Anolis sagrei: one gene and its partner. The protein of the gene in region 1 interacts with the protein of each later gene in a biochemical or structural test. Links are inferred from orthologs where the notes say so. Each region holds a gene or a part of one and is shown in the gene's direction. Other genes may lie near its edges. The genes, in order: FKBP4 and GLMN.

Region 1 (11,426 bases):
GTCTGTGTTGTTGGCCTCACTGTTTTCTTTGGTCCTAAGAAGTGGGGAAATTACTTCTTTCCTTTAAAAAAAAGGTTTTGCATAGAAAGAGGCCATCATGGTGTAGTGTTTGCTTGGATTAATTGCCCCACAATTGTGCTTTCATATCTGTGTCACCTTAAAGCATGGTGCTTCCATTGTCCTGTTAGTAACTGTTTTAGCTATGTCTCGTGGTTCCTAATGGTTCTTTTCACCCTCTCCTCCCGACCCCCTAACTGTGCTTGACTAGTGGATGCATGATACTAATGCAAGTTGCAGTTTGTGAGCGAGTCTACTTTAGACTGATTGCCAACCATAAACTAGGCTTGATGCCAAGATACACAATTTCACTAAAGAAGGGAAACCATAGACTTTTAAAAAATGCGATAGAATAGGTCAGACTGCTTTCTGTTAATGTAATTCTTAAATTTATTACTGACACAAATAAAAAGCAGTGTTAAAAGCTTCACCAGAAGAAGGCCTAGTGTCCGTGATACACTTTAGTACATTCCAAGTTTGCGTATTTATTTGTTTTTAGGAAGAATGATAATTTAAAAAACTCGGAGTGGATTTTCACATTTGGGCAGTAGTGTTCACTTTTGCATGAATTTTTGGTACTTCCAAACAATTCCAATTGTTGGATTTTTAAAGTTTTTGTACAAAGTTTTATTTCTCCTTTAAAAATCACGTTCTACTTATAATGTATCAAACTACTAGTTGTGGTTCTTTTTTTATTTTGAGGCGTGTGAAATAAAAGAAAATGAAACAACTATTTTCCTTCTTTTCTTCACAATCAAGATTGTTATTTGATGTCTTTCATATACATATTACTAAAAGGTATGGGGTTTTTAGGAAAGGTAAAAATAGAGCTGGACCTTAGGGAAGGCTGAGCGAAGGAAGATCGATGCTTTTGAGCTGTGGTGTTGGAGGAAAGTGTTGAGAGTGCCTTGGACTGCGAGAAGATCCAACCAGTCCATCCTCCAGGAAATAAAGCCCGGCTGCTCACTGGAGGGAAAGATACTAGAGACAAAGTTGAAGTACTTTGGCCACATCATGAGGAGACAGGAAAGCCTAGAGAAGACAATTATGCTGGGGAAAGTGGAAGGCAAAAGGAAGAGGGGCCGACCAAGGGCAAGATGGATGGATGGCATCCTTGAAGTGACTGGACTGACCTTGAGGGAGCTGAGGGTGGTAACAGCCGACAGGGAGCTCTGGCGTGGGCTGGTCCATGAGGTCACGAAGAGTCGGAGACGACTAAACGAATGAACAACAAAAATACAGCAAAACTTACAGAAATATGTATTCACAAGCTAACTGAGAGTTATGTAGACAATTGTCAGAAAATGTAGGAAGGAATTTCTTCAGCCAAGTAGGGTTACCTGAAGATGAAAACCTGAGGACACACCTAGTTAGCTGGCAACCTACTGAAAGAACAATGAGTAAAATCAAGTATATAATTGAATTACCTTAATGTTAAACACTGTTGCTTCAATGCATTAGTATAGAATATATGTTCCCATTTAATCTATATAAATAAATATGTAATGTTTGTTTGTGGGATTAACAGAACTCAAAAACCACTGGACGAATTGACACCAAATTTGGACACAAGACACCTAGCAATCCAATGTATGTCCTTCACTCAAAAAAATTGATTTTGTCATTTGAGAGTTGTAGTTGCTGGGATTTATAGTTCATCTACAATCAAAGAGCATTCTGAACCCCACCAACAATGGAATTGAACCAAACTTGGCACACAGTTCTCCCATGACCAACAGAAAATACCGGAAGGGTTTGGTGGGCAGTGTCCATTGGTTTTGGAGTTGTAGTTCACCTACATCCAGAGATCACTGTGGACACAAACAATGATGGATCTGGACCAAACTCTACACGAATACTCAATATGCCCAAATGTGAACACTGGTGGAGTTTGGGGAAAATAGAATCTTGACATTTGGGAGTTATTGTTGCTAGGATGTATAGTTCACCTACAATCACAGAGCATTCTGAACCCCACCAACGATAGAATTGGGCCAAACCACCCACACAGAACCCCCATGTGGGCCACAGCAACGCGTGGCGGGGACGGCTAGTGCAGCATAAATCCATATACAAATACAAGGGTCTCAAGTGAAAGATAGATAATATCAAACACATACAAGCATGCTGTATGAAGTGAAGGTAACTAAGGTAAATGATTATCTGGGCAGAAGTGGTAACCCTTTGGAGCACCTTCCTAACTGCCACTGTGCAGCTACCAAATCATGCGCAGATGCAGTAGGTTAGGACACTCTATAGCACAGTGTTAGAAAGTCATCAGTAGTTTTTCATTTGGTTGGTGGTTCCTTAGGAGTCTTGAGTAGTACAGTGTGCTGGGCCCTCTTATCAAGGCTGCCAAAGAAAAAGTGGAGAGGAGACATGACTGCTATGTTGAAATATGTGAAAGGCTGTCATAAGGAAGTGGGCACAGACTCAATGGAGCAATGGGTTCAAATGAAAGGAAAGAAGATTCCACATGAAGAACATTCGGAAGAATTTTCTCATTGTAAGCGCTGCTCAACAGTGAAACGTACTGCTTCGGAGTGTGGTGGAAGTTCTTTCCTTGGTGACTTTTAAGCAGAGGCTGCCTGATCATTTGTCAGGGGTGCTTTGATTGTGTTTTTCCTGCATGATAGGGAGTTGGACCGGACAGTCTGTGACTGTCATAAGGAAGAAGGAGCAGGCTTGTTTTCTGTAGCCCTAGAGACTAGTCCTATATCCCAGGATCTGATCCCAGGTTTTGTTTATCCCAGATTATCTGGCATTTATCTGGGATACACAAAATTTCAGTGTTTTGTTGACATCTCATGCCAGATCAGGAGACACCGGCCTGAAAAGTCATCTTTGGGGGGTGGGATTCAATACTTCCCAAGAAAAAAATCTGGTGATGCGCCTGCTTGTACAGGTGGGATTCAGCCCTCATGGCTGAGTGATTGCAACAGATTCAACCCTAATGTGGCTGGTCAGGAGAGGAAACCTCTTCTGTTCCATTGTTTCTTTGGCAGGGCTTGGATTAGATCAGTGGTTCCCAACTTTTTTTTTTAACCAGGGACCACTCTCCAAAATTAGTACCAAAAGGGTTACAAATTGGTTTTTGAGCAACTTTAGATTTGTTTTGGTTATTTGGGGTGCTAATTCAGAAAATGGCATTGGATAGACCACATCAGCTCTAGTTTCTGATACAGAACATAGGCCATCCTATTGCCATCTGCTTGCCCACAGAAAACGATATTTAATAATTTAGAGCTGATATGGTAGTCAGGTCTTTCGTGGGTAGTCAGCCTCTCTGGTTGTTTCGGTGTTATGAGAGGGTTTTGCAAGGTCAGTCACTCTCGTTGCCACATGATTTTGAGGCAATGGTATAGAAAAGGTGAAACAGCAGACTGTATTTTTGTTCTTGTGGACCACTGGTGGTCCACGGACCACAGGTTGGGAACCCCTGGATTAGATAGACCAGTGGAAGACAGCTCAGTTTCTACCTGAAATCCAGGTTAGTTCCCCCTCCCCCCCTTACACACACATACACGAGCGCCTTAGGCTTTGCCTGCCAGCTGCCACCAACTTAGTCACTTCCACTATGGGCAAAAGTATGATAGCTGGGACCTAATGCTGAGACAGCGCAGCGAGTGAGAGATGCAGAGTCGTGGCAAGATAGTTCACCAGAAAGGGATTTGGGGGGGGGGGGGGGGGACAAACAGCCAAGCATAGTGCTTAAGGCTATCCGGAAATCATAAGCAAACACGTTCAAATACTTAATGTCTTCGCTTCTCTAATTCTGACCCACGTCACGCAACCAGCATTGGGTCCTAGCTATCATACTTATATCACATTATGCTACCTATTGCTGCTATTGCAATGCAACTTGGTAGAAAGGTAGGTAATGACAGTGCAAATAATGAAAATAATGAAAATTTGCTTGAGACAGTGCTTGCAGTTCTGGAGGGGCTCTAATTTTTGCTTCTCATAGACTTGGCCTGAGGGTCATAGAATCATAGAGTTGCATTCAAAGTACCCCTGACAGATGGCCATCCAGCCTCTGTTTACAAGCTTCCCAAGAAGGATCCTCCACCACACTCCGGGGCAGAGAGTTCCACTGCTGAACGGCTCTCACAGTCAGGAAGTTTTTCTTAATGTTCAGGTGGGATCTCCTTTCTTGTAGTTTGAAGCCATTGAAAGTGATGGTTTCTAATATATGTCATTTCTTTATGCTTGTGGGTTAAAAATATTTGGTGTTGTTTCTTTGTCAGTGTTGATGAGGAGATTGTCAGGTTTGCCTACTCTGGAACATACAACATAGAATTGTCCTTCTTTAGAGGTCCCTCTCAAATCTATGATGATATATCTGTGTGTATGTGAATCAGGGCCATAGCCAGAAAAAATTTTTGGGGAGGGTTGAAAATTTCGGGGGGGGGGGGGGTTGAAAATTTGGGGGGGGGAATTGAAACCTGCCTCCTAGCTCACGCTGAAGCAAAGAACACAGCAGGGGGCAGAGCAGCCTTCAATAGCCTGCAGCTCTGCCCCTGTCAACCACTTCCACCTAGTCTGGCCTCCTTAATGAGAGCATTCAAACCCCCCCCCCCCCGAACTTTGTTGCTTCGCTACATCAGCTATTGCTGCAAGTAATGACAGTGTGAATAAATTGTCAATATTTGCTTGAGATAGTGCTTGCAGTTCTGGAGGGACTCTTATTTTTTTGCGTCTCATAGACTTAGCATGGGGATTTGGTTAACCAGTTAAAATTCATAAGTAAACCAGGTTTTTTTTTTAACCTGAAAAATTTCGGGGGTGGGGTTGAACCCCTAACTCCCCCTCCCGGCTACAGGCCTGATGTGAATCATATATCTATCTATCTATCTATCTATCTATCTATCTACCTATGGCTGGGTGGCTCTTTGTAAGGAGGGCTTTGATTATGTTTTCTTGCCCTTGTGAAGGGAGTTGGACTGGATGGCCTTAAGTATTTTCTGTTGGTCATGGGGGTTCTGTGTGGGAAGTTTGACACAATTATGTCGTTGGGGTTCAGAATGCTCTTTGATTGTATAAATCCCAGTAACTACAACTCCCAAATGTCAAGGTCTATTTCCCCCAAAACTCCACCTGTATTCATATTTGGGCATATAGAGTATTTGCTGAATGGCTCTCACAATCAGGAAATTCTTCCTAATGTTCAGATGGAATCTCCTTTCTTGTAGTTTGAAGTCTCCAGGGCAGCAGAACACAAGCTTGCTCCCTCCTCCCTATGAGGAGATCCCACCTGAACATGAGGAAGAACTTCCTGACTGTGAGAGCCGTTCAGCTGTGGAACTCTCTGCCCTGGAGTGTGGTGGAGGCTCCTTCTTTGGAAGCTTTTAAACAGAGGCTGGATGGCCATCTGTCAGGGGTGATTTGAATGCAATATTCCTGCTTCTTGGCAGGGGGTTGGACTGGATGGCCCATGAGGTCTCTTCCAACTCTTTGATTCTATGATTCTATTCTATGACTTCCTCTCGCGTTTATACATGGTCATCATGTCTCCTGCCAGAAGGGACAGAGTGTTTCATCTATGCTGATGATCATGCCATTACTGCTCAAGCAGAGAGCTTTGAGATGGTAGAACAGAAGCTTTCCGAAGCTCTAGGTGCTCTTACTGCCTACTACAGGGAAAACCAGCTGATCCCCAACCCATCCAAAACACAGACATCCCGAGCTCTGAAGATCGCCTGGGAAGGAATCCCACTGGAGCATTGCAGCACACCCAAATACCTGGAAGTCACTCTGGGCCGTGCTCTTACCAACAAGAAGCACTGCCTGAACATCAAGCAAAAAGTGGGTGCTAGAAACAATATCATACGAAAGCTGACTGGCACAACCTGGGGATCACAACCAGATACAGTGAAGACATCTGCCCTTGCGCTGTGCTACTCTGCTGCTGAGTATGCATTGCCAGTGTGGAACACATCTCACCACACTAAAACAGTGGATGTGGCTCTTAATGAAACATGCCGCATTATCACAGGGTGTCTGCGCCCTACACCACTGGAGAAATTACACTGCTTAGCTGGTATTGCACCACCTGACATCTGCCGGGAAGTAGCAGCCAATAGTGAAAGGACCAAGGCAGAGACATCTCCAGCTCACCCCTGTTTGGGTATCAGCCAGCACGTCAATGACTTAAATCAAGAAATAGTTTTCTAAGATCTACAGAGACACTCGCTGGAACACCTCAGCAAGCAAGAGTCCAAAACTGGCAGGCTCAAACCCAGCACCTCAATCAATGGCTGATACCAAATGAGAGATTCCCCCCAGGGCACACAGAGGACTGAGCAACTTGGAAGGCGCTGAACAGACTGCGCTCTAGCACCACAAGATGCAGAGCCAACCTTCAGAAATGGGGCTACAAAGTGGAATCCTCGACATGCGAGTGTGGAGAGGAGCAAACCACTGATCACCTGCTGCAATGCACCCTGAGCCCTGCCACATGCACAAGGGAGGACCTTCTTGCAGCAACACCAGAAGCACTCCAAGTGGGCAGATACTAGTCAAAGGACATTTAATCAACTACCAAGCTTGCAAACTTTGTGTTTTGTCTGTTTGTTTTGTTCTGTTAGAAATGTAATACAATGGTATGGTTGCTGATGACACGATAAATAAATAAAAATAGGGCAGCAGAACACAAGCTTGCTCCCTCCTCCCTATGATAACCTCTCACGTATTTATACATGGTCATCATGTCTCCTCTCAGCCTTCTCTTCTTCAGGCTAAACATGCCCAGCTCTTTAAGCCGCTCCTCATAGGGTTTGTTCTCCAGATTTGGTTAACCAGTTAAAATTCATTCGAAGCCCTAATCCGCCCCCCTGACTACAGGCTTGCATACCAGGCCCTTGTTCCTGAGGCCACGCCCCCACCAGGCTCTCATGGTGCTTCAACAGTGTTGTCCTCCTGGCGCGGGCCCCCACGTGGCCAAGAGACAGGCATGGGCTGACTTAAACAGCGCGGGAATCCACGCAAAGAGCGCTGCTTTTGGGCCTGCTTCACTGGAGGAGACGAGGGAGCGAGCGCGAAGCGGGCTGGCCTTCCCCTCCTCTCTTCTGGAACCTTCTCGCTGGCTGACTGACTGACTCGGAGGAGGTCCGTCTGCCGGCGGCGGCGCTGTGGAGGTTGAGGGGGCGGGACTTCCGGCGCCCAGCGGCGGAAACGGGCCCGCTTCGTCGACTGCGGAGGGGCCGCGCGCCAGGCAGGCAGGCAGGCAGGCAAGTAGTCAGGCTCGGCGCTGAGGAGCGAGTAGCCAGGCCTCGCCTCTGGACCCTCTGCCTCGAGGAAGAAGGGAAGACAGACGGAGGGAGGGAGACCCGAAGGGACTGCGTTGCCGCCATCATGACCGCCGAGGAAGGCAAGGCCGAGGAGATGAGCGCCGCGCCGGAGGGAGAGGCGGGCACCGACATCACCCCCAAGAGCGACGGGGGCGTCCTCAAGGTAAAGAAGGCCTCAAGGAGGCTCTTCAAGGGGGCAGGAGGGCGGGGGGGATCCATTCCACGCGCCCTTTCTCAGCAGAGGAAGAGGAGCCATGCAAACGACTCCTAGCTAAGAAAGGGGGTGGGACAGCAGGAAGTGAGAGAAATCTCTCTCTAGGAAGGGAAATCCAATCCAGGGGAAAAGGTGCCTCCACTGAACCTTCACCGCCAATTCTTGTTTTCCATAACAATCCCATTCGCACAGTGAGGTGAAATCTTCTGAACAGGGGCGCAGGCAGCAAAACAACAGAGGTATTAACCCTTTCCTGGGCATAATCTATCTATCTATCTATCTATATAATCAAGGCATAATCTATCTATATATATAAATGCTTTGTGCATAATGAGTACCTTAAAAACAAAAGGACAGATGAACGAAATCACACCAAATTTGGCAACAAGACGTCTCACATCACAAGGAGTGAACATAGAATCATAGAATCAAGAGTTGGAAGAGATCTCATGGGCCATCCAGTCCAACCCCCTGCCAAGAAGCAGGAAAATTGCATTCAAATCGCCCCCGACAGATGGCCATCCAGCCTCTGTTTAAAAGCTTCCAAAGAAGGAGCCTCCACCACACTCTGGGGCAGAGAGTTCCACTGCTGAACGGCTCTCACAGTCAGGGAGTTCTTCCTCGTGTTCAGATGGAATCTCCTTTCCTGTAGTTTGAAGCCATTGTTCCGCGTCCTAGTCTCCAAGGAAGCAGAAAACAAGCTTGCTCCCTCCTCCCTGTGGCTTCCTCTCACATATTTATACATGGCTATCTTATCTCCTCTCAGCCTTCTCTTCAAAACATCACTCAAAACATTATGATTTTGTCATTTGGGAGTTGTCGTTATGCCATTTTGTCATAATGATTTGTCATTTGGGAGCTTTCTGAACTCCACCAATGCTGGAATTGAACCAAACGTAGCACACAGGATCCCATGACCAACATAGGCATTGATGAGCATTGACCTTGAGTTTGGGAGTTGTAGTTCACCTACATCCAGAGAGCATTGTTGAGTCAAATAATGATGGATCAGGACCAAACTTGGCACAAATACTCAATATGCTGAAATATAAACACAGATGGAAATTGGGGAAAATAGACCTTGACATTTGGGGGTTGTAGTCACTGGGATGCACAGTTCACCTACTATCAAAGAGCATTCTGAACCCCACAAACGGTAGAATCAGGACAAACTTCCCACACTGAACCCGCATGACAAACAGATATAGTATCATAGATTTGAAAGCGACCCTTAAAGAAGGACAATGATATCTTGCATGTTCCAGGGTGGGCAAACCAGACACTCTCCACATCAACACTGACAAAGAAACAGCAAGAAATACCATTTACCCACAAGCATAAAGAAATCACATATATTGGAAACCAACACTTTCTCGTTACTTTATTTTCTAGATCAATAGACTGGGCCACAGCAATGCGTGGCACGGGATAGCTAGTCTATCTATATATAAATGCTCTGTGCATAATGAGTACCTTAAAAACAAAAGAATAGATGAACGAAGTCACACCAAATTTGGCAACAAGACGTCTCACATCACAAAGAGTGAACATCACTCAAAACATAATGATTTTGTCATTTGGGAATTGTAGTTGCTGGGATGTATGGATCACTACAATCAAAGAGCATTCTGAACTCCACCAATGATGGAATTGAACCAAACGTAGCACACAGGATCCCATGACCAACATGGGCATTGATGGGCATTGACCTTGAGTTTGGGAGTTGTAGTTCACCTACATCCAGAGAGCATTGTGGAGTCAAATAATGATGGACCAGGACCAAACTTGGCACAAATACTCAATATGCCCAAATATAAACACAGATGGAAATTGGGGGAAATAGACCTTGACATTTGAGAGTTGGAATTTATAGTTCATCTACAACCAGGGAGCAGGGGAACTATAAATCCCATTAATCTACAACCAGGGAGCAGAAGCCCCTGGTGGCGCAGTGGGTTAAACCCCTGTGCCGCAGGGCTGAAGACCAACAGGTCGCAGGTTCGAATCTGGGGAGAGGCGGATGAGCTCCCTCTTTCAACTCCAGCTCCTCATGCGGGGACATGAGAGAAGCCTCCCACAAGGATGATAAAAACATCAAATCATCCGGGCGTCCCCTGGGAAACATCCTTGCAGACGGCCAATTCTCTCCAGAAGCGACTTGCAGTTTCTCAAGTCGCTCCTGACATGACAAGTAAATAAATAAATCAGGGAGCATTCTGAACCCCACTGACGACAGAACTGGGGCAAACTTCCCACACAGCCCCTATGACCAACAGAAAATACTGGGTTTTCTAGGTCTTTGGTGACTCTTCTGACACCACCCTGGTGACCTCCCCCTCCTCCCGGGGTCTTGACTTCCCAGCTTGTGAAATGCTGCCTTAAGGCCATCCAGTCCAACTCCCTTCACCAGGGCAAGAAAACATAATCAAAGTCCTTCTGATAAAGGGCCATCCAGCCATTCACACACACATATATGTATATGACAGATGCAGTATCATCGATTTGAAAGGGACCCCTACAGAAGGACAATTATATGTTGCATGTTCCAGAGTAGGTAAACCAGACCATCTCCGCATCAACATTGGCATGAAACAGCAAGAAGTGCTGTTTACTCACAATCATAAAAACATTACATATATTAGAAACCAACACTTTCTCATTACTTTATTTTCCAGATCACCAGAATGGGCCACAGCAATGCTTGGCAGGGGACCTCTAGTCTATCTATAATTTTGCATATTTGTAAACTGTCCTTTTCACACACACACACCCTGAAGGGGGACTCTGAACGGCTTCACAACAGGCATTCATTCAATGCCAAATGATAAAAGCAATTAAAACAGAAAAATTACTAAAACATTCATGCAGGTTTGAAATCGTAGTCCAGGTCAGCTTTTATCAGGCAACTGGTAAAATGAAAAAATGAAATGCAAACATACAGAATGGGGGACGCGTGGCTTGAGAGCAGTATGTGTGAAAAAGATCTTGGGGTCCTCGTGGACAACAAGTTAAACATGAGCCAAGAATGTGATGCGGCGGCAAAAAAAGCCAATGGGATTTTGGCCTGCATCAATAGGAGCATAGTGTCTAGGTCTAGGGAAGTCATGCTACTCCTCTATTCTGCCTTGGTTAGACCACACCTGAAATATTGTGTCCAAGTCTGGGCACCACAGTTGAAGGGAGATATTGACAAGTTGGAATGTGTCCAGAGGGGGGCAACTAAAATGATCAAGGGTCTGGAAAACAAGCCCTATGAGGAGCAGCTTAAGCCTGAAGAAGAGAAGGCTGAGAGGAGACATGATAGCCATGTATAAACATGTGAGGGGAAGTCACAGGGAGGAGGGAGCAAGCTTGTTTTCTGCTGCCCTGGAGACTAGGACGTGGAACAATGGCTTCAAACTACAAGAAAGGAGATTCCATCTGAACATTAGGAAGAACTTCCTGACTGAGAGCCGTTCAGCAATGGAACTCTCTGCCCCAGAGTGTGGTGGAGGCGCGTTCTTTGAAGCTTTTAAAAAGATGCTGGATGGCCATCTGTTGGGGGTGCTTTGAATGCAATTTTCCTGCTTCTTGGCAGGGGGTTGGACTGGATGGCCCATGAGGTCTCTTCCAACTCTATGATTCTAACTGGATATCAGTTTTTGCTTATATTCAGGTGTGCTGAATATAAATATATGAATATATGACATCTATGGCTGGAGTTACACTTTAAAATGCACCTGTTTCAACTTACATTACAAATTCAACTGAAGAACAAACCCACAGAAGCTATCTTGTTCATAACTTGGGGACCGACCGTAATTAAAAGCATGGAAAGATGTTGTAAAAATGCCATATTAAAATATGTTTAAATTTGAGTGCAAAGC
Region 2 (11,196 bases), on another chromosome or scaffold:
GGACTCAGATAACCCATTTCAAAACATATATTGTGGATTATCTGCTGTGATATCTGTGTTATATGGCTGTGTGGAAGGGCCCTCAGACAGAATTGTGTTTGAGTTGCTGAAGGTCACCCAGCGAATGTCATGTCTTGGTGAGACCTTGAACCTGGATTTTCATTGTCCAGACCCCACATATTAACTACTGCTCTACACTGGCTTTCTTGTATTTGGACATTCCTTGCAAGAGCCACAGTAGCTCACCACTGTCTAACTAATAATGCCATTGTTGGCTGTATCACTACTGTAGAACTAATTTTTTCCTGTAACCCTACGCGTCTTTCCAAAATATTACACTTTACTATAATTTCCTCACCAGAGTTATCTGTACACCATTTTTAAATGCCATGTAATCTTCAACTGATACAGGCAGACTAAAGCATGGGGAAATGAACCCTTCTACCACCAAACTTAGTAGGACAGCTTCTTTTCTTCCAAAGAGACTGAAATGTTCAAACAGCTGTAAAATAAGTCCTTCCCAAAAGAAGGCAGTATATGTTCAGAAGGATTTAAGAGTTAATCTTGATTAGGGCTGCAGTTTTTTGAGAGAGCAGGTGTATCATATTCAGAAGATTCAAGGTCAATAGACTGGCATTTTTCATTTTCAATTGCTGCCCATTTTTACTAGCAACACGGGACACCCTGATCCAGTAAAAAAGCAACTTCATGTGTTCTAAAGAAATAGGACGTCTTCACCTTTTTGAATTTGAGCAAGTCTAGGGCATCAAATTAAATACAAATACCATCACAACTGAAAAACAACACTTCAGCCTTTGTCAAAGAATATCACCTGAAACCAGAAATTGGAAAAGTTTTTTGGGACTATAATTTCCAGAATTTCAGCATGCGTACCAACTATAGCCAAAACACACACAAAAAAAGCCAAAACCAAAAACCTTAAAATAAGGTCTTTTTATGGCCTTGGAAACGACCCCCAAAACATTTTATTTCCCAGTACATATGTACATTGCTTTTTTTCTTCCACTGTGAACAGGAAAGAAAGAGTTTTAAGGATCACTTGTTTTATTACATAAATATTTAATTACCTTTCTTCATCTCGCAGCCACACTGGACTTTGGGAAATTTGACCTTCAAAGTATTTTGATGCTTTGTAACAGAAGTTGCTGCAAAAACACTGCCACACAAAAAAATTGCAAGTGTTATGTCCTCATTTTAACAAAATAGATACAAACATGGTGTGAGCTAAAATCAATCATCCCAGGGCCCTTCTACACAGCCATATAATCCAGAATATCAAAACAGAAAATCCCACAATATCTGTTTTGAACTGGGTTATTTGAGTCCACACTGCCATATATTCCAGTTCAAAGCAGAAAAGGTGGGATTTTATTCAGCTATGTGGAAGGAGCCAAAGTTTTTTTTTGTAATGAAACAAATAATACATTAGATATTAATTTGTAAAGAATGAAAGACCAGTTTCTGAACACAGAAATCCACTAATCATAACAAGAGGAAAGGAAAAAGCTTTTTTTTGTAGGAATAAGCAAATTATTCTAGGTTCAGTATGCACAGTAAATATGAGCCAAATGAGACAACCTGTAGGAAAATATTTTTCCTGAATGTTGTTGGTTTTCTCACAGATACATGACTAGTTGTTGTTTCATCCAGGAACCTCTTGCAGGCTTCCAAACATATTTGATGGGCACTGTGCCTCTCTTTTCCATCTTGTAACTCCATAATGGCTGCTGTAGCCACAAGGAAGTGACGACTGGTTCTAATTTCTCTCTTCCTTTTGTCCATTTCAGTATGTATTTGGAATGCTAGGAAATGTAGTTTCTCTATGGGCTGTGGATGTCACTGGAGACCTTGATTAATGATAATTTACCAGTGTTCCAGGCGCAAGGAGTCTGGATGGCAATTCCACAAACTACAGTGCACTAAGGGCTTTCTTTTGCACACTTTTGCGGGATCTTGTTGTCTGGCTGCTGCGGCTTGAAGCTAACAACATGAAATGGTCAGTCTAGATAGGGCCACAGAGACCATACACATGTCTGCCATTTCATCCCCAGAATCTTTTGAAATCCAGAGCCAATGTCTTGTAACAGTGCAATAATATCAAGTGACAACCATAGGAATAATGTTTAAACATACCTTTCTTTCAGTAATATCATAAACTTTGTTTGTTTTTGTCGAAATTTTGTACTTTTGCTTTGGCACCTTAAAAGACACAAAGACAAACACAGTTTGGCAAATTTGTTAATGCCACCTGAAGCTTTAATTTTAAAAATCCCAAGTTGGCATTGCTTATTATGCCACAACATTATCTTTAACCACATATCTCAAGCTGACAAGAAGCCTGAGAATTTTGATTTACATTGTGAAGATATTTGTATTTTGAGGGGACACAATTTTAGCCCACAAGACCTTAGCCTATAGTTAAAATAGCATTTTTCTAGGTTTACATCTCTTCAGACAGATATAATAATACAATAACAACAACAATAATAATACTTTATTTATAACCTGCCACCATCTCCCATAAGGACTCGGTGCAGCTTACAAAACAGCACATAAAGATGCCATACACAAAATACATCATGCATAAAATAAAATACCTCAACATGAAAACAATAATAGATTACATAAAGCAAGTATATAAATTGGATAAAACAAGCTCTATTAAAATAGAATCAGTTAAAATATCCATGTAATCAATATAGCAGCCCAGCTGAATGCACAGAATGAAGATATAAAGTGCTAAGTGACTGGCAATCAGTTCTGATTACTGTCTAAAAATTATCAAATGCCTACTGGAAAAACAAGTTTTTAACTCTTTCCTAAAGTGCTGAAGTGTAGGGGCTTGTCTAAGATCCCAATAAAATGTGGGGGTCCGGGGAGGGGGGATCTTTAGAGCCGGGGAGCCACTACTGAGAAGGCCCTCTCCCTTGTCCCTTTCTCCATTGCCTTCCTGATTGCCTTTTTTTACAAGATATGACAGCCCTTTCCAAGGAATCCTCCTAAGTTGCATCAACTAAAACTGAATCACCCCTTTTGCTCTTGTGAAATGAGTCAAAGGGCCAGTCTGCAAGAAACAATACATTACAGTGTATTATTATGGATAAGGAGAGCCAATGGACCAGCAAACATGTAGCAAAACATTACAGTGTGTTATTATGTACGATGAGAGCCGATGGACCAGTATGCCTGTAACAATATATTACTGTTAATTATTATGTGCCAGAATATTGGCTTCTTTGGTGCCAAACTCTCCCTCTCCTCCTAGCTTGGCTGCAAGGAGAAAGGAAAGCTTAATCTCATTTTCTAAAGTTTGCCATAGTGCACAAAACCTACAATGTTTAATCTGAGCAATGATTTGTTGAAACTATCTTCTTAATCCTAAATCTGATGTTTGCTAATTTCAGTAAACCACAGTTAAGATTTAACACAATTTTTCCAGGTTAGAGAGAGAACTAAATTATGCAGAGCTTGATTTCCTCTCCTTGATCACATTGGATGAAAGCAGAGGCAGGACAAAGAGGTGGCAAGAACACTACATAGTTTTAACCCATGCCGGGGGCCAATATAGTATATACCAGTGGTTCTCAACCTGTGGGTTCCCAGATGTTTTGGCTTTCAACTTCCAGAAATCCTAACAGCTGGTAAACTGGCTGGGATTACTGGGAGTTGTAGGCCAAAACATCTGAGGACCCACAGGTTGAGAACCACTGGCATATACTATCAGATTCAAAACTGCGGATATCCAGGCTCACATCCTTACTCACAAAGCAACCCTGTAGACATTTTAAATCAGTTTTGAATTTGTAACACAGGAAGATAATGAAAATGGGCGAAAAAAGCAAGTACTGGATAATTTTCAGGAAGAAATGCATTTTAAATTTCAAAAAATTACAGAAAAAGAACCAACACATACACCACTCACAGACTCTTACATTCTGCAGCCTATTTCGACAGATGGGGTAGCCACACAGTTTGACGATAAACCGCTCTTCCACAACATCTTTATAGTGAGAAGGTGTAATGAACTTCCCCTGAAAAGAAATAAACAGATTTGCCTTGAAATGTGGGTTTTCATGGATGAGCAGGGATACAAAGAAGCGGTGTGTAAAACAGTAGAAAGGAAGATTAGGAGGGGAGTCATTTGGGTTCGACAAAACAAGTTCAATTTCTGTTTTGGGAAGAATCTTCATGAAAACAGAATGGGTGGACGGACTCAAAATTGGAAACAAAAACAGAACAGATTTCTCCTGTTTCACACATCTCTAATTTACAAACCTTGGACTACAGTTGTTTTAGTCAATGCTCAAGCCTCTACCTCACGCTGAGTCTCCCTTTGGAATATGTCCTATAGGAAATGGGAAACCTTGCAGTCCTCCAAATGCTGTGAATTAAACTTTTAGAAGCACGAACCAGCCTAGACAATAGTGGGAAATGCTGACAACAGCAGCCCAAGGTCATTGAGAAGAGGACTTCTTAAACTTTTCCACTTGTGACACCTTTTGGCCCAATACAGTTTTACACAGCCCTGGGTAGATAAAACTGGTATAAAAATCAAACATTTCCTTTTGCAGAGTCTGCTGTAAATGCTGCACAACAGATTCATGTACATGTCTAAAACAGCAACTAGGTGACATTCAGAAAATGTTTACATTTGCCAATTTTTTCAGGACCCCCACATTGAGCTATGGGGACCTAGTTTGGAGACCCCAGTTTAAGAAGCAGTGATTGAGAGGGTTATATGATTCCCAGATAATTCACATTATCTGCTTTGAACTGGATTACATGAATCTACACTGCCAGATAATCCAGTTCAAATCAGATAATCTGGATTTTATATGGCAGTGTAGAAGGGGCCATAGACTGCCAAGCTAACACACATCTATGGTGCCTCTCCAAAGATTGATAAACTATCTTTGGAAAGGAACCATTAACTGCATAACAAGCTATAGGAGACCTTGACACATTTAAACTAAATATTTTATATAAATCTGCAACAAGACGACATACACAATTTGTGAGGAATTCTTCAGTGATATCGTCTTCTAAGAGGCGTTCAACCACCTTCAAGGCTTTTCGCTCATGCGCAATCTTCTTTCGAATAGCAGCTTCAAGTGCTGCTTTCCTACAAGGGGAAAAAATAGTGGTGTGACCCACATTTTGGCAATTCATATGAAGTTGCTTAAGAAACAAGTGGGTACGAACAGATCCAGCGCAAAACATTTGATGCCTGAAGCAAAGAACACAATGGCACCCACTTTTCATTTCAAACTGTGCCAGCTGGACTAAAGACCTGCCAGTCTTTAATAGGTTAAACAGGGCAGAATATGTGTCTCAAAGAGAAGGGAATATCAGAAAGTCATGAGAAACATCTAAAAGCCCTCAAATAAAAAGAAATACATTACAATGCATGCGCAAAACCACACACACATATATATAGATACCCAAATACACACACACAAAACACAAATACACAGATTTGGCCACAGCAATGTGTGGCAGGGGACAGCTAGTTGATTCATAAACCTTTTGAAGGATTTACAAAATAGATATAAACACATAATGCAACCAAACAGTTATTCTGAGAGACAGGATACCTTTGTGCAGCATCTTCATTTGTCAGGACACTGGGCTGTTTATTACCTAAGAGGAACAACCAAAAATACAGGGAGATGACAAACCACATGAAATCACATGATCAATTCAAGCTTTTGTAGGAACAGAGTGGGAACCCGCTGTTTGCTTAGGGAGAAACTTGCCCTTATAAAACTACAACTCCCACGATTCCATAGCACTGAGCCCTGGCAGTTCAACTATATTATTCCTACAGTAGTATAGGAATAATCACAGCTATAGAGCATCTCCCATCCCTAGAAAGCCACCCCCTTGGAAGATAGGATTGGTTTCGCCTCCACATATTGAGGAAGGGAGAAGGAACAGTCCATGTGATGAAAAGGGGGGGGGATAGATACAAACAGCTGCGTTTACCCGGGCGCCGGCGCTGCCTCCTGGCCTTGGAGCCGCTGCGGGTCCTCTCTTCCGCCATCGCTGCCGGGAAAGACCTCTAACCCCTCACTGCGCCTGCGTTGTTTGGGAAAGGGGCGTGGCTTCTCCCAAAGGGGCGTGGCCTGAGAATAGTCATGAGGCCGTGCTGGTAGACCGGTCTCTTTGGAAAGAGGGAAGGCGGAGGTAAGAGGAGGGAGTCTTGCTGCAGGTTGGGGTCACAGGCGGGAGGGCGCCAGGGAGGAGGGACAGCCCAGGTCTAAGGCATAGTAGTTTAGGAGGGATTCACTCTTTGTCTTTCGTTTCTAGGGTTCAGAGAGGCTCCCAAGTGAAGCCTGGAAAGGAGTTGCAGCCTTCTTTCACTTCCAAGGCTGGTGCAAGGGGAGTCTCCCTTCTCTGAAATGCTATGGGAGCCTGGGAGTTGTAGTTTGGAGGGAAAAATAAAGACCCTGTGAAACTACAACTCTCAGGATTCCATTGACAGGAAAGGCCTAAGGCCTTGTGAAACTACAATTCCCAGGATTTCTTTGGCAGGGAATGCTAAAGGCCTTGTGAAACTACAACTCCTATGATTCCTTTGACAGGGAAGTCTAAAGGCCTTGTGAAACTACAATTCCTAGGATTCATTTGGCAGGGACGGCCAAAGGCCTTGTGAAACTATAACTCCCAGGATTCATTTAGCAGGGAAAGCCAAAGGCCTTGTGCAACTATAACTCCTAGGATTCCTTTGGCAGGGAAGGCTAAAGGCCTTGTGAAACTATAACTCCCAGGATTCATTTAGCAGGGAATACCAAAGGCCTTGTGCAACTATAACTCCCAGGATTCCTTTGACAGGGAAGGCTAAAGGCCTTGTGAAACTATAACTCATAGGATTCATTTAGCAGGGAAGGCCAAAGGCCTTGTGAAACTATAACTCATAGGATTCCTTTGGCAGGGAAGGCTAAAGGCCTTGTGAAACTATAACTCCCAGGATTCATTTAGCAGGGAAGGCCAAAGGCTTTGCGAAACTACAACTCATAGGATTCATTTTTGCAGGGAAGGCTAAAGGCCTTGTGAAACTACAACTCCCAGGTTTCCATAGCATTGAGCCAGGGCAGTTACAGAGGTATCAAACTGCATTAATTATATAGTGTAGAAGCACCTGGGATGTATAGTCCCCCCCCCCCCCCAATGTACACACTTTTAACAGCTAATAATAGCTATGGAGATTATAGACTATAACGGAAACCTTTACCTTTATGGAGATTATTTGGATGTTAAATATATATGTTTATATTGAAGATGAAATGTTATACTAATTAGCTAAAGTTATAGATTCCATTTTAGAGTACGTTTACTTGTTCCTTGTGTGCCTCCCAATTCGTTTCAGACCTATGGAGAACCATTCACTGGGTTTGTACAGGAAGGTTTGTTCAGAAGTTATTTGCCTTGGTCTTCTGAGGCTGAGAGAGCATGACTTGCCCAAGGTTACCCAGAGGGTTTCTATGGCTGAGTGGGAATACGAACCCCGGTCTCAGAGTCATACTCCAATGCTGAAACCATAGAAGGAGTTCAAATTCATGTGCGAGCGCAGCCATGCAATGACCCCATGGTCAAAGCATAGAGTTGCACATTTCATTTGAGGTTTCACTACTAATTGTGCACCACATTGGAATCTTTGATCTTGTTAAGGATGTACTGGCAGTCCCCGAGTTACAAACATCTGACTTATAGACGACTCCTAGTTAAGAATGGGGGTGAGACAACAGGAAGTGAGAGAAATCTACTCCTAGGAAGGGAAATTCACTCCTGGAAGAGTTAGCATGGGGAAAACGTGTCTCCCCTGAAGCTTTATCACCAGTCCTTGTTTCCACAACAAGTCATATTTTTCACAATCCAATTCTCACAGGGACAGAAAGTGCTGTGAAATCTTCTGAACAGGGGAACAGACAGCAAAAGAAACACCATGGGCGTGTCAACCTTTCCCTATGCTAACCAAAGATAGGTAGATAGATATATATATCTCTGGAGTTGCACTTAATAAAATGTACCTGTTCTGACTTACATACAAATTCAACTTAAGAACAAACCTGCAGAACCTATCTTGTTTGTAACTTGGGGACTGTACACATTTTAATGCACCCTCCCCCTCTGTTATAAGCGGTTAAGGGTGTATACTTTTTATAGTTAAAGAGTAATTGCCCTTGAGCATGTGCAGAGTACTTTTTATCTATGTTGTATGGCAGTGGTTCTCAACCTGTGGGTCCCAGATGTTTTTGCCTCCTAACAGCTGGTAAACTGGGATTTCTGGGAGTTGTACGCCAAAACACCTGAGGACCCACAGGTTGAGGACCAATGTTGTATGGTCTCTGGTAGATTTGAACACTTTTTCAATCTCCTTCTAGCTACATAAATGGTCTTCCTTTAAGGAAACAATTAAAATGTTATTTATTGTGTCAGGAGCAACCAGACATTTGTATTACATTTTTAACAAAACAAGCAGACAAAACAGAAAGTTTGCAAGCTTGGTAGTTGATTAAATGTCCTTTGACCAGTATCTGGCCATTTGGAGTGCCTCTGGTGTTACCGCAAGGAGGTCCTCCATTGTGCTTGTGGCGGGGCTCAGGTTGCATTGCAGCAGGTGGTCAGTGGTTTGCTCTTCTCCACACTCGCATGCCGTGGATTCCACTTTGTAGCCCCATTTCTTAAGGTTGGCTCTGAATCTCGTGGTGCCAGAGCGCAGTCTGTTCAATGCTTTCCATGTTGCCCAGTTTTCTGTGTGCCCAGGGGGGAGTCTCTCATTTGGTATCTGCCATTGATTGAGGTTCTGGGTTGGAGCCTGCCACTTTTGGACTCTCACTTGCTGAGATGTTCCAGCGAGTGTCTCTGTAGATCTTAGAAAACTATTTCTTGATTTAAGTCGTTGACATGCTGACTGATACCCAAACAAAGGATTGGTCCTTTCACTATTGGTTGCTACTTCCCGGCGGATGTCAGGTGGTGCGATACCGGCTAGACAGTGTAATTTTTCCAGTGGTGTAGGGCGCAGACACCCTGTGATAATGCGGCATGTCTCATTAAGAGCCACATCCACTGTTTTAGTGTGGTGAGATGTGTTCCACACTGGGCATGCATACTCAGCAGCAGAGTAGCATAGCGCAAGGGGAGATGTCTTCACTGTGTCTGGTTGTGATCCCCAGCTTGTGCCAGTCAGTTTTCGTATGATATTGTTAATTGACAATTAAAATAATTTTTAAAGAAGGGGTTATGTTAGCCTGTTGTAGCATAACAAGAAGAAAAGCGAGGGAAAGGGTTGGGGGAAATCTAGCCACACTTTTTAAGATTAGTTTTTATTTTAGCATCCGTTTTTGTGGGTCAATGTCTACACAAAAAAGAAAGTTATAAACTAGAAATGTATCTTACAGGTGCTGCCAGATTCCTTTAATGTCCTGTTCAACTCCCTTTCCCCTGTTTTGCACGTTAAAGACCACTTGCTAGAGACTTTTTCTGGCCCCACAAAGCAGATAGCTTCCAAATACTACAATGTGCTCTTTGCTTCGCTTCCTCTTTGCCTGCTCTTACTTGGCTGTAACTTTACTTCTTTCTTGAATGGGATGAGAATAAGAAAATAAAAAATCTCCAAAAGGATTAATATGTAAAAGAAAACAATCTTCATGGTGGTGGGAATTGTAAATGTTGTGTATGTCCTAAAATAAAAAAAATATTAAAAAAATAAATTAATAGAAAGTTTATGTATACATCCTGGCTTTTAAAAGTCAGAGTATTTCAGAGCACTTTATTGCCCCTCAGCAGAACTGCTTCCTATAATATGCTTAATGGCCAGCTGTAAAGCTCTTAACTATACTTAATCAGAAGGTGTCCTTTTTAATTCTCATTAAACTAGGGTTGCCCTTTAAAACATTCTGGTAAATGGCAATGCAACACGTTTAGAGTATCTTGTTGAGTCCCACTTTCTGTTGTATTATAATTCAATAATATTTTGTCATTTAGGATTTTTGCAGTTCCCTTTTGGTACCTAAAGGTTTTGGCACAGATAATATAATCTGTTATTAAAACGATCTAATCCCTATTCTAGGAAATTCTTCACAATATATTTCATAGTACAGATACACATTGTGTAGTGTATAAGTTCATGGACTGGAAGATTTCAAATTTGATTTTAAGAGGTTTCCTTCTCACCATCTCTTGTAGAGTGAAGCGTAATCTTCAAGATACAGCTGAGTGAGGCTTCAAGCATCCTTCACCATTAGCTGTGTTGTTAAGGTTGGTGGGAGGTGAAGTCCAAAATAATTCAAAGGGCTGCAGTTTCTTGACCTGATTGATTCCTAACTTTACTAAATACCCTTTTCATGCTTTGTTCTTATAAGATATCTTAATGATTTAAAAAAAAGGTTCTGCCAGTTTTGCAATATATTTAAAGTGTATCTCATTCAATTCTATTTTAAAAAATTGTAATAGGGCTCTTGCGGATTAACAAAAAATGGCAGAAGAAGAACTTCGAGCCATCATACATAGATGTGTAAGTAACATGTTAAATTGTGTTGGGAATTGCAACCTTCTACAATCCTCCTATACTAGTTATTTGTTATGTATATAGTTATGATTGTTTACTATCTTGACATGCAGTTTTCCTTTAACTCTTATATTGTTTGAGGTTGTAGGAGGGACTGCAGACCATGTGAGCAGATCTGGGACTATTCAGACTGAGACTCCATTTTAGAAGTCATGTTTGCATCAGAAGCAGAAGTGTTTAGAACAGGGGTCCACAAACTTTTTAAACAGAGGGCCAGGTCATAGTCCCTCAAACTGTTGGCGGGCCGGATTATAATTTGAAGAAAACATGAATGAATTCCTATGCACACTGCAAATATCTTATTTATAGTGCAAAAAACATTTAAAAACAATACAGTAATTAAAATGAAGATCAATTTTAACAAATATAAACTTATTAGTATTTCAATGGAAAGTGTGGGCCTGCTTTTGGGTGATGAGATAGGATTGTTGTTGTTATTGTGTGCTTTCAAGTCATACTTAGGTCGATCCAGAGAGAGGACCGGGTAAATGACCTTGGAGGGCCGCATCCAGCCCCCGGGCCTTAGTTTGAAGACCCCTGTTTTAGAAGATAGTACAGTATGCAATTGTCAGTGTTACTGTAAAGACAGTGTCAGTATGCTG

The links.
Region 2: the proteins of FKBP4 (region 1) and GLMN form a complex in vitro, tested with the Homo sapiens proteins (2 studies listed by BioGRID). The link is inferred for Anolis sagrei from reciprocal best matches to the Homo sapiens genes FKBP4 and GLMN.

The regions. Positions count from the first base shown.
Region 1 is NC_090025.1:104,713,875-104,725,300, reverse strand, and holds the start of FKBP4 (peptidyl-prolyl cis-trans isomerase FKBP4), read left to right. Parts: upstream 1-7,209; 5' UTR 7,210-7,410; coding exon 7,411-7,509; intron 7,510-11,426. UniProt on the Homo sapiens protein: Immunophilin protein with PPIase and co-chaperone activities. Component of steroid receptors heterocomplexes through interaction with heat-shock protein 90 (HSP90).
Region 2 is NC_090024.1:150,129,220-150,140,415, forward strand, and holds the start of GLMN (glomulin), read left to right. Parts: upstream 1-6,117; 5' UTR 6,118-6,207; intron 6,208-10,479; 5' UTR 10,480-10,501; coding exon 10,502-10,540; intron 10,541-11,196. Other genes in the region: putative RNA polymerase II subunit B1 CTD phosphatase RPAP2, read right to left, coding at 1,089-1,177, 2,155-2,220, 3,954-4,052, 5,029-5,143, 5,616-5,661, 6,007-6,064.